Arabidopsis thaliana: one gene and its partners. The protein of the gene in region 1 interacts with the protein of each later gene in a pairwise test. Each region holds a gene or a part of one and is shown on either strand. Other genes may lie near its edges.

Region 1 (5,953 bases):
AATATGAAAGGGCATATTATAAAGTTAGATTTGAGCAATTATTTTTTCCTTCTTATGAATATGATAATAGAGGATAAATTTGAAAGGACAAAGAACTTTAATTAGAGGTACTGTCCATATCTACCTTGCAAACCTACAACAATTAAATGTGTTGGACGAACCGATAGTCGATACTCGATAGTCGATAATGGATATATATGCTCGAGGTACGTAAAATTTAGATGTTAATCCGCAAGAATATATAGAGTTGTGCTAGATGTATTAATTAAGATATCGATCTCCAAAAAGTCTATACACTCACGAGAATATGTTTCATATAGTTTTTGGGATCAATTATGGTGATTCTTCTAATGTGAACATGATTCATTCATTTAATGGGTATATCCGATCGAATATATATGTTTTAGATTTTAAGAACAAAATAAAAATGATAGATGGCCCTTTTCGATGGTTCTAAACTTTATTTTGATATCGTGAGAGCACTTAATGCTACTTTGTTCTTCACGCAATCAGCATGCATATTTACTCACAAGTTGCAACCACACGAATATAAACAAATTCGGTTACGGACTTAGGGCTACATATTCAGTTACGTCTTGATGTCATATGCATAGTTTATTGAAGCTCCTTGTCTAAAAATGCATTAATATGCAAACTTTATGCATATATCATATGTATGGCCTTAAATCTCTCAACTCAAACTAATATACAGAGAAAAAAAAATTCTGATAATCGTATTTTGAAAAACATTAAAATCTGTGTTTATAAGATCTAGAAAAACATATATGTCTACATGAATGCAATAATTTAATTAATGTATTTGTATTTTTTTTTTTCAATGCATGTGTAAGTAGATATATTTGATGTATGTATATCTCTCTAGTCTCTACGTAGGTGTCATGGGACGTTCCTAGCTACTTGCAACTTGGCAATGGAGTTATGAACTTTCTTATTTCCTAATTTTAATTATGTTGGAACAACGTGGGAAGATTCTCTCACGACCATCATCTTTCATGTGTGTTTTTTTAATGACGCCATTCGAAACAAAACATTCTCCCGACTAATGAAGACATGCGGAAACTCAACCTAGCTCGACCGCCAAGGATGATATAACTAACCTTATAACCAATAAAAACTTTGCGTTCTTTAGTTACTCATATTTAAGTGAAGTTAAATCATTTGTAAAAAAACATTGTTTGTGTCAAATCATTGGTGAGGTAGAACTAAAATGGTAGTTTTCTTAAAAGACTTTGATCTTGCCTAATTAGCCATCATCTTTGAATAGAAAATAGTTATATTGGACAGTAAGTGAGACACATTCTCTGCCCATGTTTCACTGTCCCACAAATCTCTAATGAGGACAAAGCTTTACAAGTCACTCAGTGTTTTATGATTTAGCTAGCTGTTCAGAAACCCACGATTTCTTCATATTATATATCCCATTATCATTATTTTAATCTTCTTTCTCACCGCTTAGTTGTTTGATATTGCACAGATCAGCAAGATAATCCTTCAGGATATGGTTATGGAATTAGTGCTCCTCAAAATTTTCGGTTCGACTTTATTCACAATTTAGCATTTGGGTATGCATATGAAACAAACTTATAATCTAATTTCGTTTTCTCAAACACAATTCACAATTTAACACACGAAGATAGATGAAAACATCAAGGAAATTGTATCACTTTTTCTACTATGTAATGTCACAGATGCAGAAACAAAGCGAACTACTTGCTATCATACAAATTGTTATGACGCCAATGGAACTCGCATATTATTCCACCGAACGAAAAAGAAACACAATCATGATAAAATAATTGAGAGAGATTAAATAAAATTAGATTCTGACTAATCATTGTTTTTCAGCTTTTGGTTTCCACTCTCTTATTATCAACTTCGCTTGGGGACCTTCAATCTCAGTTGCACAAAAATGCCATAAAACTAGCCAAAAAGTGAAGAAATAGAGGAGAAAAATGGCGATCCCTCGACTTTTCTTCCTCTTCTATTACATTGGTTTCGCTCTTTTCCCTTTTGTTTCTTCTGAAACATTTCAAAACTCCGAACAAGAGATCTTGTTGGCCTTCAAGTCAGACCTTTTTGATCCTTCAAATAATCTCCAAGATTGGAAGAGACCTGAGAATGCCACAACATTTTCTGAGTTGGTTCATTGTCATTGGACAGGAGTTCACTGTGATGCAAATGGCTATGTGGCTAAGCTTCTTCTCTCCAACATGAATCTCAGCGGAAACGTGTCAGATCAGATTCAGAGCTTCCCTTCTCTGCAAGCCCTTGATCTCAGCAATAACGCATTTGAGTCTTCTCTTCCTAAATCTCTTTCTAATCTCACGTCTTTGAAGGTCATTGATGTGAGTGTGAACAGCTTCTTTGGAACCTTCCCTTATGGTCTAGGAATGGCAACTGGTCTTACACACGTCAATGCCTCAAGCAACAATTTTTCGGGGTTTCTACCTGAAGATCTTGGCAACGCAACTACACTTGAGGTTTTGGACTTTCGAGGAGGTTACTTCGAGGGCTCAGTGCCTTCTTCTTTCAAGAATCTCAAGAATCTGAAGTTTCTCGGTCTTTCGGGTAACAACTTTGGTGGAAAGGTACCGAAGGTGATTGGTGAGCTCTCTTCCTTGGAGACCATTATTCTTGGTTACAATGGCTTCATGGGTGAGATTCCAGAAGAGTTTGGGAAATTGACGCGCCTTCAGTACCTTGATTTGGCTGTTGGAAACCTTACAGGCCAGATTCCATCTTCTTTGGGGCAGCTGAAACAACTTACAACAGTTTATCTCTACCAGAACCGTCTCACAGGGAAACTTCCTCGAGAACTTGGTGGTATGACTTCTCTTGTGTTTCTTGATCTGTCTGATAACCAGATCACAGGAGAAATACCTATGGAAGTAGGTGAGTTGAAGAATCTGCAGCTTCTAAATTTGATGAGGAATCAACTCACGGGAATCATTCCGTCAAAAATTGCTGAATTACCAAACCTTGAGGTTCTTGAGCTGTGGCAGAACTCTCTCATGGGTTCATTACCGGTGCATCTCGGCAAAAATTCCCCATTGAAGTGGTTAGACGTCTCATCAAACAAGCTTTCAGGAGATATACCATCAGGATTGTGCTATTCCAGAAACCTCACAAAGCTCATTCTCTTCAACAACTCATTCTCAGGTCAGATTCCGGAGGAAATCTTCTCATGTCCGACTTTAGTTCGTGTTCGAATCCAGAAAAATCACATTTCCGGATCTATACCAGCTGGTTCAGGTGACTTACCAATGCTTCAGCATCTAGAGCTCGCAAAAAACAACCTCACCGGTAAAATTCCAGATGATATAGCCTTATCCACATCACTCTCATTTATAGACATATCATTTAATCATCTCTCATCCCTATCTTCCTCCATTTTCTCAAGTCCTAATCTTCAAACCTTCATTGCCTCACATAACAACTTTGCCGGAAAAATTCCTAACCAGATTCAAGATCGTCCATCTTTGTCTGTCCTCGATCTTTCCTTCAACCATTTCTCAGGTGGAATCCCAGAAAGGATCGCTTCTTTTGAAAAACTTGTGAGTCTAAATCTCAAGAGCAACCAATTGGTTGGAGAAATCCCTAAGGCATTAGCCGGGATGCACATGTTAGCTGTTCTTGATCTCTCAAACAACTCTTTGACGGGGAATATACCAGCGGACTTGGGAGCTTCTCCAACACTGGAGATGTTAAACGTGTCATTCAACAAACTCGACGGACCCATTCCTTCAAACATGCTGTTTGCAGCCATAGACCCAAAAGACCTCGTGGGAAACAATGGCTTATGCGGTGGAGTTCTACCACCTTGCTCTAAGAGCCTAGCTTTGTCAGCAAAAGGCCGAAATCCAGGGAGAATTCACGTGAATCACGCAGTCTTCGGGTTCATTGTTGGAACTTCAGTCATCGTGGCTATGGGGATGATGTTCTTGGCAGGGAGATGGATATACACAAGATGGGATCTTTACAGCAACTTTGCTAGAGAGTATATATTCTGCAAGAAACCTCGGGAGGAATGGCCATGGAGACTCGTGGCTTTCCAGAGACTGTGCTTCACTGCAGGAGACATCTTATCACATATCAAAGAATCAAACATCATTGGAATGGGAGCCATAGGGATTGTTTACAAAGCAGAAGTCATGAGACGGCCATTACTCACTGTAGCTGTGAAAAAACTGTGGAGATCACCATCACCACAAAATGATATCGAAGATCATCATCAAGAAGAAGATGAAGAGGACGACATACTCAGAGAAGTGAACCTACTTGGTGGTCTACGACATAGAAACATTGTGAAGATTCTAGGTTACGTTCACAACGAGAGAGAAGTGATGATGGTATACGAGTACATGCCCAATGGAAACCTAGGAACTGCTTTGCATTCCAAAGATGAGAAATTCTTACTAAGAGATTGGCTCTCACGATACAATGTCGCCGTCGGAGTCGTTCAAGGTCTCAATTACTTGCACAACGATTGCTATCCTCCGATCATTCACAGAGACATCAAGTCTAATAACATCCTCCTCGATTCAAACCTTGAAGCGAGGATAGCAGATTTCGGATTGGCGAAGATGATGCTTCATAAGAACGAGACCGTTTCTATGGTGGCTGGATCTTACGGGTATATAGCGCCGGAGTACGGATACACACTGAAGATTGACGAAAAGAGTGATATATACAGTCTAGGCGTTGTGCTTCTGGAATTGGTGACTGGGAAAATGCCGATAGATCCTTCGTTTGAGGATTCGATTGACGTGGTTGAGTGGATTCGGAGGAAGGTGAAGAAGAACGAGAGCTTGGAAGAAGTGATCGACGCGAGCATCGCCGGAGATTGTAAACACGTGATCGAAGAGATGCTCCTGGCACTGCGAATCGCTCTTCTCTGCACCGCGAAGCTACCGAAGGATAGACCATCGATTAGAGACGTCATCACAATGCTCGCGGAGGCGAAGCCACGCCGGAAAAGTGTTTGCCAAGTCGCCGGGGATTTGCCGATTTTCAGAAACTCGCCAGTGGTAGGGCTGATTTAGATGACGGAGGCGATAAGGGTAGTTTTGTCATTTCATCAGCTGGGGCTAATTTTAACATTGGGCTAACAAGTTAACTTTGGGCTGAATCAAAAACCCATGTTTTCAAATCTGATGGGTGCACTAAAGCCCATTGAACCAAATGACATGATTCAAAATTGTAATAGGCCCCTTGTTGATGGCTGATCCAGCAAATTGTAGTTACCAGAGGCTAAAAAAATAATAAATAAAGATTTTAATTAGTTTTGTTTTAATGGAATATTAATCTTTCAATTCACAGAGAAATATTATCTTTTATGATACAATAATTATAAATAAAAAAATTTGATTTTTTTCTATAAATGAATTTTTATGAACGAAATATAAGTTAAATATATTGTATATGTTCTTGATTAATTTCTTCTATTCTGAATTTGTTTCCATTTCCGGTTAAAATTTTTGATTCGCAATTGCTTACATCAACTATAGTCTATATATGACAAAGTCAAATATCCAAAAACGAGATTTTGTAATTATGAGAATCAGTCTTTGGCAATAATCTCTGATATACTCAAAATAGAGTGAATACAATTATTGGTTTTTCATGCTAAATATGAGTTTGCTATATATACCAAATGGTTATATAAATTTTTTTGGGGACAAAAGATAATTAAATATACAGCAAATGGTCAAGTTACCTTCTTCTTCTTTTTTTTTTCTTTTTGTTATCATAAAATTTTATAAAAAATGGTAAAACTACATATGCCAACAGAGAAAAAATAACCCTAGGCTGGTTAAACATATTAAAATTTTCAGTGACAACAATCCTAAAAAAAATATAACTTTAGAAAATAACTAATAAAATACAAATCAAAATTGCAAAATTAAACATAAATTTTAATTATATTCTAATT
Region 2 (3,694 bases), on another chromosome or scaffold:
GTTGACTGGGTCGGCCAAATGGTCGGCGAGGTTCTCCAAAGGTCCCTTTCCGGTGACGATGGCTTGAACGAAGAATCCAAACATAGAGAACATAGCCAACCTTCCGTTCTTGAGCTCCTTCACCTTCAACTCTGCGAAAGCCTCGGGGTCAGTAGCGAGGCCCAATGGGTCGAAGCTGCCACCTGGGTAAAGCAAGTCCTCTGCTTCTCCCAATGGACCATCTCCGGCGACTCTGTAGCCTTCAACAGCTCCCATGAGGATAACTTGAGTAGCCCAAATGGCTAAGATGCTCTGAGCGTGGACCAAGCTCGGGTTGCCCAAGTAGTCCAATCCTCCGTCGCTGAAGATCTGTGAACCGGCCTTGAACCAAACCGCTTCTCCGAACTTCACTCCGTTCCTAGCCAATAGCTCAGGGAAAACGCAGCCTAGGGCTCCGAGCATGGCCCATCTGCTGTGGATAACTTCTAGCTCACGGTTCCTGGCGAAGGTCTCTGGGTCGGCGGATAGACCAGCGGTGTCCCATCCGTAGTCACCGGGGAACTCACCGGTAAGGTAGCTCGGGGGCTCGCCGGAGAATGGACCCAAGTACTTGACTCGGTCAGATCCGTACCATGGGCTGCCTGATGGACCCTTTGGCTTGGCGACAGTCTTCCTCATGGTCACACGGCCGCTTCCGAGGACATCTGATGCGGCAGGCTTCACAGCCTTTCCGGCGAAGGCAGGGGAGGACAAAGCCATGGTTGAGGAAGCCATTATAATCTTTGTTTTTGTGTTTTCTTTTTTTTGGTTGTGACTGGTGAGAGTGATTGAAAATGGTTGGGGTATACGTCCACTTTATAGCAATGTTAAGAGTAAGGTTTGTTATCTGTGAAGTATCTGTATCTGTTTAGTGATTGGCTTATGAGATTTTGGGATTGTCGTTATCTTGTCCTATGTGTCACTCTCTAGTCCATAAGCTTTTGCTAGATTCTTTAGCTGCAACGAAAACACTTGTCATTTGTACACAAAGAAACTTTGGGGAAATTTTCAAAGATAAATGCTTGAATTATTGGAAAGAAATATTTGAAATTATTCCAATCTATTTTTTTCTTTTTCCTTGTTTTCTTTAATTCCAATCCACTTCATGCTCTCAATAATATTTTCTTTTTTTTCTTATCAAGTTTGTTTCGAACGCCAAACTACAAAGTTTTTAAGTGAAACTAGAAACACTTACCAAACAAATATATATCAATGTTATGTAAAACAATGCAGTTAGATGAAACAAAAAGTGATACGAAGTTCTTACGATCATAAGTTAATAATATAAAACCGTCGACAATGATATTAACTGATACCTTTGATTGATTTTGTTGAATGTTTTCGGCAACAAATATGACTGGTAAGTTTTTCTTGCCAATACGAATTAGAAAACATGTCTTTGAAGATGAACTGTATTTTTTTTTTTTACTTTGTTGTCATTTTAATGTACTTTCTTATCAGGATTAAATCTTCTGTAATTTAGAGTAGTTTTTTTAACAAGATAATTAACAAACTTAGAGTAATGAAAATTGAGATGTTCAGTTTTCACTCATATTTCACATTTTGGTGAAAGAGTGGGTAGTATGCAACGTTCTAAGTATGTTTGGACTTTGTATCATGTTGTTTTGATTCTTTGACGACATGTCTATTTGGGAAACACCAATGACGTGTACCTTGAGACTGATACGATTCAAAGGGATAGAAACACGTCAGATTTACAAGTGGCACGTCTTCAATGGACAATGGGTATTCCAATATGCTAAGATGCTACGAGATATCTAATTTATCTAACACAACTCAATTCCAAACCAAAAATCTGATGCCAGCTCGACAAGACAAAAAATCTAAGCTCAAAAATGTCAACAACCAATAGAAATCAAGGCATTGACGATATCACGAGATAAGCAAATTAAATCTTCAAGTTTTGCAATTCATATGTACGTTATAAATACCCAAAAACCTCACCGTAACCTAGCTATCCAATTTCATCACATCTTATTAACTAAAGAGCCTTTTACTTGCGCCACACTCTCACCGCAATGGCCGCCTCGACAATGGCTCTCTCCTCTCCTGCTTTGACCGGAAAGGCCGTTAAGCTATCCCCGGCGGCCTCCGAAGTATTTGGAACCGGCCGAATCACCATGCGCAAAGCCTCCAAGCCCACCGGTCCATCCGGCAGCCCATGGTACGGATCCGACCGAGTCAAGTACTTGGGTCCATTCTCCGGTGAGCCTCCGAGCTACCTCACTGGAGAGTTCCCCGGTGATTACGGGTGGGACACTGCCGGTCTATCCGCCGATCCCGAGACCTTCGCTAGGAACCGTGAGCTAGAAGTTATCCACAGCAGATGGGCCATGCTCGGAGCCCTAGGCTGCGTTTTCCCTGAGCTATTGGCTAGGAACGGAGTGAAGTTCGGAGAAGCGGTTTGGTTCAAGGCTGGTTCACAGATCTTCAGCGACGGAGGATTGGACTACTTGGGCAACCCGAGCTTGGTCCACGCTCAGAGCATCTTAGCCATTTGGGCTACTCAAGTTATCCTCATGGGAGCTGTTGAGGGCTACAGAGTCGCCGGAGATGGTCCATTGGGAGAAGCAGAGGACTTGCTTTACCCAGGTGGGAGCTTCGACCCATTGGGCCTCGCTACTGACCCCGAGGCTTTCGCGGAGTTGAAGGTGAAGGAGCTCAAGAACGGAAGGTTGGCTATGTTCTCTATGTTTGGATTCTTCGTTCAGGCCATTGTCACCGGAAAGGGACCGTTGGAGAACCTCGCGGACCACTTGGCTGATCCAGTCAACAACAATGCATGGGCCTTCGCTACCAACTTCGTCCCCGGAAAGTGAGTTTAATTTGTGATCGAGTTGTGTGTATCCGGTTTGTTGCATCTTGGAAATGTGATGCAGATTTCATATCTTGTAAATTACTTTGTATGTGTGTGAAATATTTAAGAAGCTTTATGATATTGATGGATCAGTCACTTACTATTTACTAATGTGCAAGAACATACTTAGACCTAATTCGGTGTTCACACAACATAGTTTGGTTCCAAGAACAGAGATAATACCAAATGATTTGATCGTACCACATCAAAGTCCAAACAAGTTTGTTTTTGTTCTTCAAAATAACTAAAATATATCTCAAACCATCCTTATATGTTTTTAACTTTTTTGTCTTTCACTTTTGGTGTGACTTCTTCAATCGGATTTTGATGTTGCATTGTTGAGAGTTTTGGTGATAAGGAATCCAAAGTCTTGGTCATAATTTTTCTCTTGTTCAAATTTAATTGCACGGAATTTTTCATGCAATTTGGGTGTGTTTGGTATGCAAATTGTCAAAGACTTTATTTTTGATAATGTAGTTCGGAGTCTTGAAAGCATTTGTAGGTCTTATGGTCGACGCTCTTGTTTTAGGTTTCTAATTAAAAAAACATGGTTAAGTTGAATGTGACTGAACTCATAAGTCATTCGAGTGACTCGCAAACCTTTGGACTCCTGTCCTCAGTGGGCATTCGCAAACAAAAACGTTTGAAACGGTCCATAACTTTTTATTTTAATTCAACGACACCATTTGCAAAAACTTTTGAACTACATAACATGGTCGATAACTTATTAATCAACGAGAGGTCTACAAAGAAGAAAAAAAAAATCACTTTGGAGAATAACGACCAGAATATAAAATA
Region 3 (4,313 bases), on another chromosome or scaffold:
AATGCTCTCATTGATTGTTATTCTAGATGTGGTGGTTTGGGTGTTAGAGATGCTATGAAGTTGTTTGAGAAGATGAGTGAAAGAGATACTGTGTCTTGGAATTCGATGCTTGGTGGGTTAGTGAAAGCTGGGGAATTGAGAGATGCACGGAGACTGTTCGATGAAATGCCTCAGAGGGATTTGATTAGTTGGAATACTATGTTGGATGGTTATGCTAGGTGTAGAGAGATGAGTAAAGCGTTTGAGTTGTTTGAGAAGATGCCTGAGAGAAATACTGTGTCTTGGTCGACGATGGTTATGGGTTATAGTAAAGCTGGGGATATGGAAATGGCTAGAGTTATGTTTGATAAAATGCCATTGCCTGCTAAAAATGTTGTCACTTGGACGATAATTATTGCTGGGTATGCGGAGAAGGGGCTTTTGAAGGAGGCTGATAGATTAGTTGACCAAATGGTGGCTTCAGGATTGAAATTTGATGCTGCGGCTGTGATTAGTATCTTGGCTGCTTGTACTGAGTCTGGTTTGCTCAGTTTAGGAATGAGGATTCACTCCATACTGAAAAGGTCTAATCTCGGTTCGAATGCTTATGTGTTGAATGCACTACTTGATATGTATGCAAAATGTGGTAACCTAAAGAAAGCGTTTGATGTGTTTAACGATATACCCAAGAAGGATCTCGTGTCTTGGAACACTATGCTTCATGGTCTTGGCGTTCATGGCCACGGAAAGGAAGCAATCGAGCTTTTTTCGAGAATGAGAAGGGAAGGGATTCGGCCTGATAAAGTCACGTTTATTGCTGTTTTGTGTTCCTGTAATCACGCGGGTCTCATTGATGAAGGAATAGATTACTTCTACTCAATGGAGAAAGTATATGATCTTGTTCCACAAGTTGAACACTATGGTTGTCTTGTTGACCTATTAGGTCGAGTAGGGCGGTTAAAGGAAGCGATAAAGGTTGTCCAAACAATGCCAATGGAGCCCAATGTTGTTATTTGGGGTGCTCTTCTTGGAGCGTGCAGGATGCATAACGAGGTGGATATTGCTAAGGAAGTTCTGGATAATCTGGTTAAATTAGACCCTTGTGATCCTGGAAACTATTCGCTTCTGTCAAATATTTATGCAGCAGCAGAGGATTGGGAAGGAGTTGCTGACATAAGATCAAAGATGAAGAGTATGGGAGTAGAGAAACCATCTGGAGCTAGTTCGGTTGAATTGGAGGATGGGATACATGAATTTACAGTGTTCGACAAATCACACCCAAAATCTGATCAAATATATCAGATGCTTGGTAGTTTAATTGAACCTCCAGATCCTGGTGAGCTGGTTGCTGTTCGATAAACTGCTTAGTTTATGTCCAGATCATTAGGTATTATATCGATTATAGGCTGTGAGCATCAGCACTGTGGCCTAGGCCAAAAATTTGTAGTTCATTTTCCAAAGGAACACAAAGATGGTTTTATCCTTGTAACGAGTTCGAGTACTGTATATAGAGCATAATTTATAAATCTTGAGATCAATTTGATTTTGCAATACTAACTCCCGTCTCCAGACATGGGGTTTCTGGTTCTTAATCCAATAACAGGTTCTGTGACCAACCTTGAAGATGACAGTAACAAGAGAAGACTAGGCAGGACCAAAGACATTCAAACTCCCACATAACCTCATTGTGAGTAATATTGTGACTTCGTGAAAATTCCACTGATGATGTATTGTCGGTGATGTATTATCATTGGACGTCAGTGTGATGACGTATTGCTGGTGATGTTACCTTTGGATGAACCAACTAGTTATTTAGAATGATGTTTAGATGGTCAAATTAGAACAAAACTCGTGGGGTTTATTTTATTACAAGAATCAATGTCTTAATGATGTTGAGTTGATCTCTTAAGTTTCCTTTTTGTAGTGATATTCCCATTGAAATAGTAATAAAATAATGGAGAAAAGAGGACCACCAATAGTGCTTCCTTGATTTGTTCCATCCACAATAGATGACTTTGATCATACCAAAAAAAAAGTCTAAACCCGTTATAATGGTCATTCACTTGTTCTTAAGACCCTTTTATGAATGATCCAAATTTTACTGATTCACGTAAGAAAAAAAAGAGAGATAGAGGATTAGAGATTATGGGGATGAAGTTTATCTAGTTGGTGGATGTAGTAATTATACGTGCTTTTTTTCCACAGGAGTGGGTAAGTAACTGCAGAGGCAAACCTTGAGTGGCCACTAGGGTTACACATCATCAAAAAAAAGGTGATAAAAGATTTGTCTCTTATCCAAAATCCAAAGGCATATGGAAATGTTTATCTTTAAATACATCAACACCTTAAAGGTTACGGTATATCCATTGCCCATTCCTCTGACTAGGACGACCCCTTTAGAACTTAATACATTCAGCCTGTGGTTCACAGTTCTCCACTCTCTTATATTTAGATGTTATTTTTCTGTTCTACCTTCTCTTCATAGGAACTAAAGTGAATTGAGTCAGAGAAAAAGAGAAAGAGAGAAGGTAACATGGATGCTTGTTTTCTTACCTCAAGATCAATCTCTGGTGTTAAAGAGCTTGTCCCGTTCATCAAAGCGAGAATCTTTACTTGCCCCAAGAGAAATTCTGGCCAATTTGTTACCAGGAAGGTTGCTTCTCCGATCTCTGTAAATTGTAAGTAAGATCTCTTTCATGGTCATTTTGATCTATAAGAATGGCCTGAGTATCGCAATAACATGTCTTGGTTTGGGAATTTGCCTGTCTTGAGTGAAATTATTGTAGCTGATGAGAGCATTTTGGTTTGAGTAGGTTCTCTTTCGGATTCATGGAAGCCACTGGAAGATGATGCTGATCTCTTCAAGGATTGTGTCAACAATTCTACATCAGATGCTGATTGGAGGGAGTTCAGGGCAAGGCTTGTTGCAGGGGAACAAGCTGCAACGTCCGAGAAGGATCAGCCCTCGTGGTCTAACCCGGACATGGTGGTGGACTATCAGCCATCATCGTCCTCACTGATCACAATTGGAAGCAAATGGGCACACAAGATCCATGAGCCAGAGACAGGCTGCCTCCTAATCGCCACAGAGAAGCTAGACGGTGTCCACATCTTCGAAAAGACGGTGATCCTCCTCCTCTCTGTTGGACCCTCAGGTCCTATAGGAGTCATCCTAAACCGTCCATCTCTGATGTCTATTAAGGAGACCAAGTCAACGATATTAGACATGGCAGGAACGTTTTCAGACAAAAGACTCTTCTTTGGTGGACCTTTGGAAGAAGGGTTGTTCTTGGTGAGTCCAAGGAGTGGTGGAGACAACGAGGTTGGTAAGAGCGGAGTATTCAGACAAGTGATGAAAGGATTGTACTATGGAACGAGAGAGAGTGTAGGATTGGCTGCAGAGATGGTGAAGAGGAATTTGGTTGGAAGAAGTGAGCTTAGATTCTTTGATGGGTATTGTGGTTGGGAAAAAGAGCAGTTAAAAGCAGAGATCTTGGGAGGGTATTGGACTGTTGCTGCTTGTAGCTCCACTGTTGTTGAGCTTGGTTCAGCTGTCCAAAGTCATGGTCTTTGGGATGAGGTTCTTGGGCTTATTGGGCCTCAAACGGGCTCTGTTATCTAAACCTTGTTTTTGTACTGCATTTCACTAATGGTTTATGGTATGACTATGTGTATGGTTTATCAATGTACTGTATGTATTAAACATCCATCACTAATTTATATTTGTTTGTTTCTCGTTTAATAGCCTAAAAATAATTACAAGGAGATTAAGAAAAACATATGAACCTTAATAATTACTCCATCTTCTAAACTGTAATGTATAATGATAGTCACAATGCCATTGGTTGTCAAAACAAAAAAATGGTTTTATCATGTTCAAACGAAGCATATACAACTTTGGTACTTGATACTTGCCTTGTACTTGCGAGTCTTCAAATTTTGTGACTCTTTACCCGGCTTGTCTATTACGGGTATTTGTTTTTTCAAGGCGAGTACTGTGCAAGTAACGAGTCCATCAACTTTAGAAGATGGATTATATTGGTTACTAAGAAAATCTCAAAAAGTCAAAATCTAACAAATATTTCGTGTTGTATGAGGTTGCGTGCAACTTCAATTGGATTTCTTAGTTAAAAAATAGAGTCATCAATATAGATTCAGACGGCTGAATAGTCTTATAAATATCTTTTATTTTTGTCTAAGTAAATTTGAAAACACTGCCTATTTTTTTGTGCACCAAATACGTCATTACGGAGTTGAGCGATTACAATGAGAGAAACACAATCGGACATTATTCAAAGTGCATATCAGCTAAATCATAAGAAAAGAAGCTAAAA

What was found.
Region 2: the proteins of AT1G08590 (region 1) and LHB1B1 interact in a two-hybrid assay, tested with the Arabidopsis thaliana proteins (one study listed by BioGRID).
Region 3: the proteins of AT1G08590 (region 1) and AT3G29240 interact in a two-hybrid assay, tested with the Arabidopsis thaliana proteins (one study listed by BioGRID).

What each region holds. Positions count from the first base shown.
Region 1 is NC_003070.9:2,716,886-2,722,838, forward strand, and holds AT1G08590 (Leucine-rich receptor-like protein kinase family protein), read left to right. Parts: upstream 1-1,652; 5' UTR 1,653-1,973; coding exon 1,974-5,063; 3' UTR 5,064-5,395; downstream 5,396-5,953.
Region 2 is NC_003071.7:14,522,761-14,526,454, forward strand, and holds LHB1B1 (light-harvesting chlorophyll-protein complex II subunit B1), read left to right. Parts: upstream 1-1,846; 5' UTR 1,847-2,057; coding exon 2,058-2,858; 3' UTR 2,859-3,158; downstream 3,159-3,694. Other genes in the region: LHB1B2 (photosystem II light harvesting complex protein B1B2), read right to left, coding at 1-753.
Region 3 is NC_003074.8:11,189,268-11,193,580, forward strand, and holds AT3G29240 (PPR containing protein (DUF179)), read left to right. Parts: upstream 1-1,995; 5' UTR 1,996-2,512; coding exon 2,513-2,657; intron 2,658-2,792; coding exon 2,793-3,601; 3' UTR 3,602-3,777; downstream 3,778-4,313. Other genes in the region: AT3G29230 (Tetratricopeptide repeat (TPR)-like superfamily protein), read left to right, coding at 1-1,338.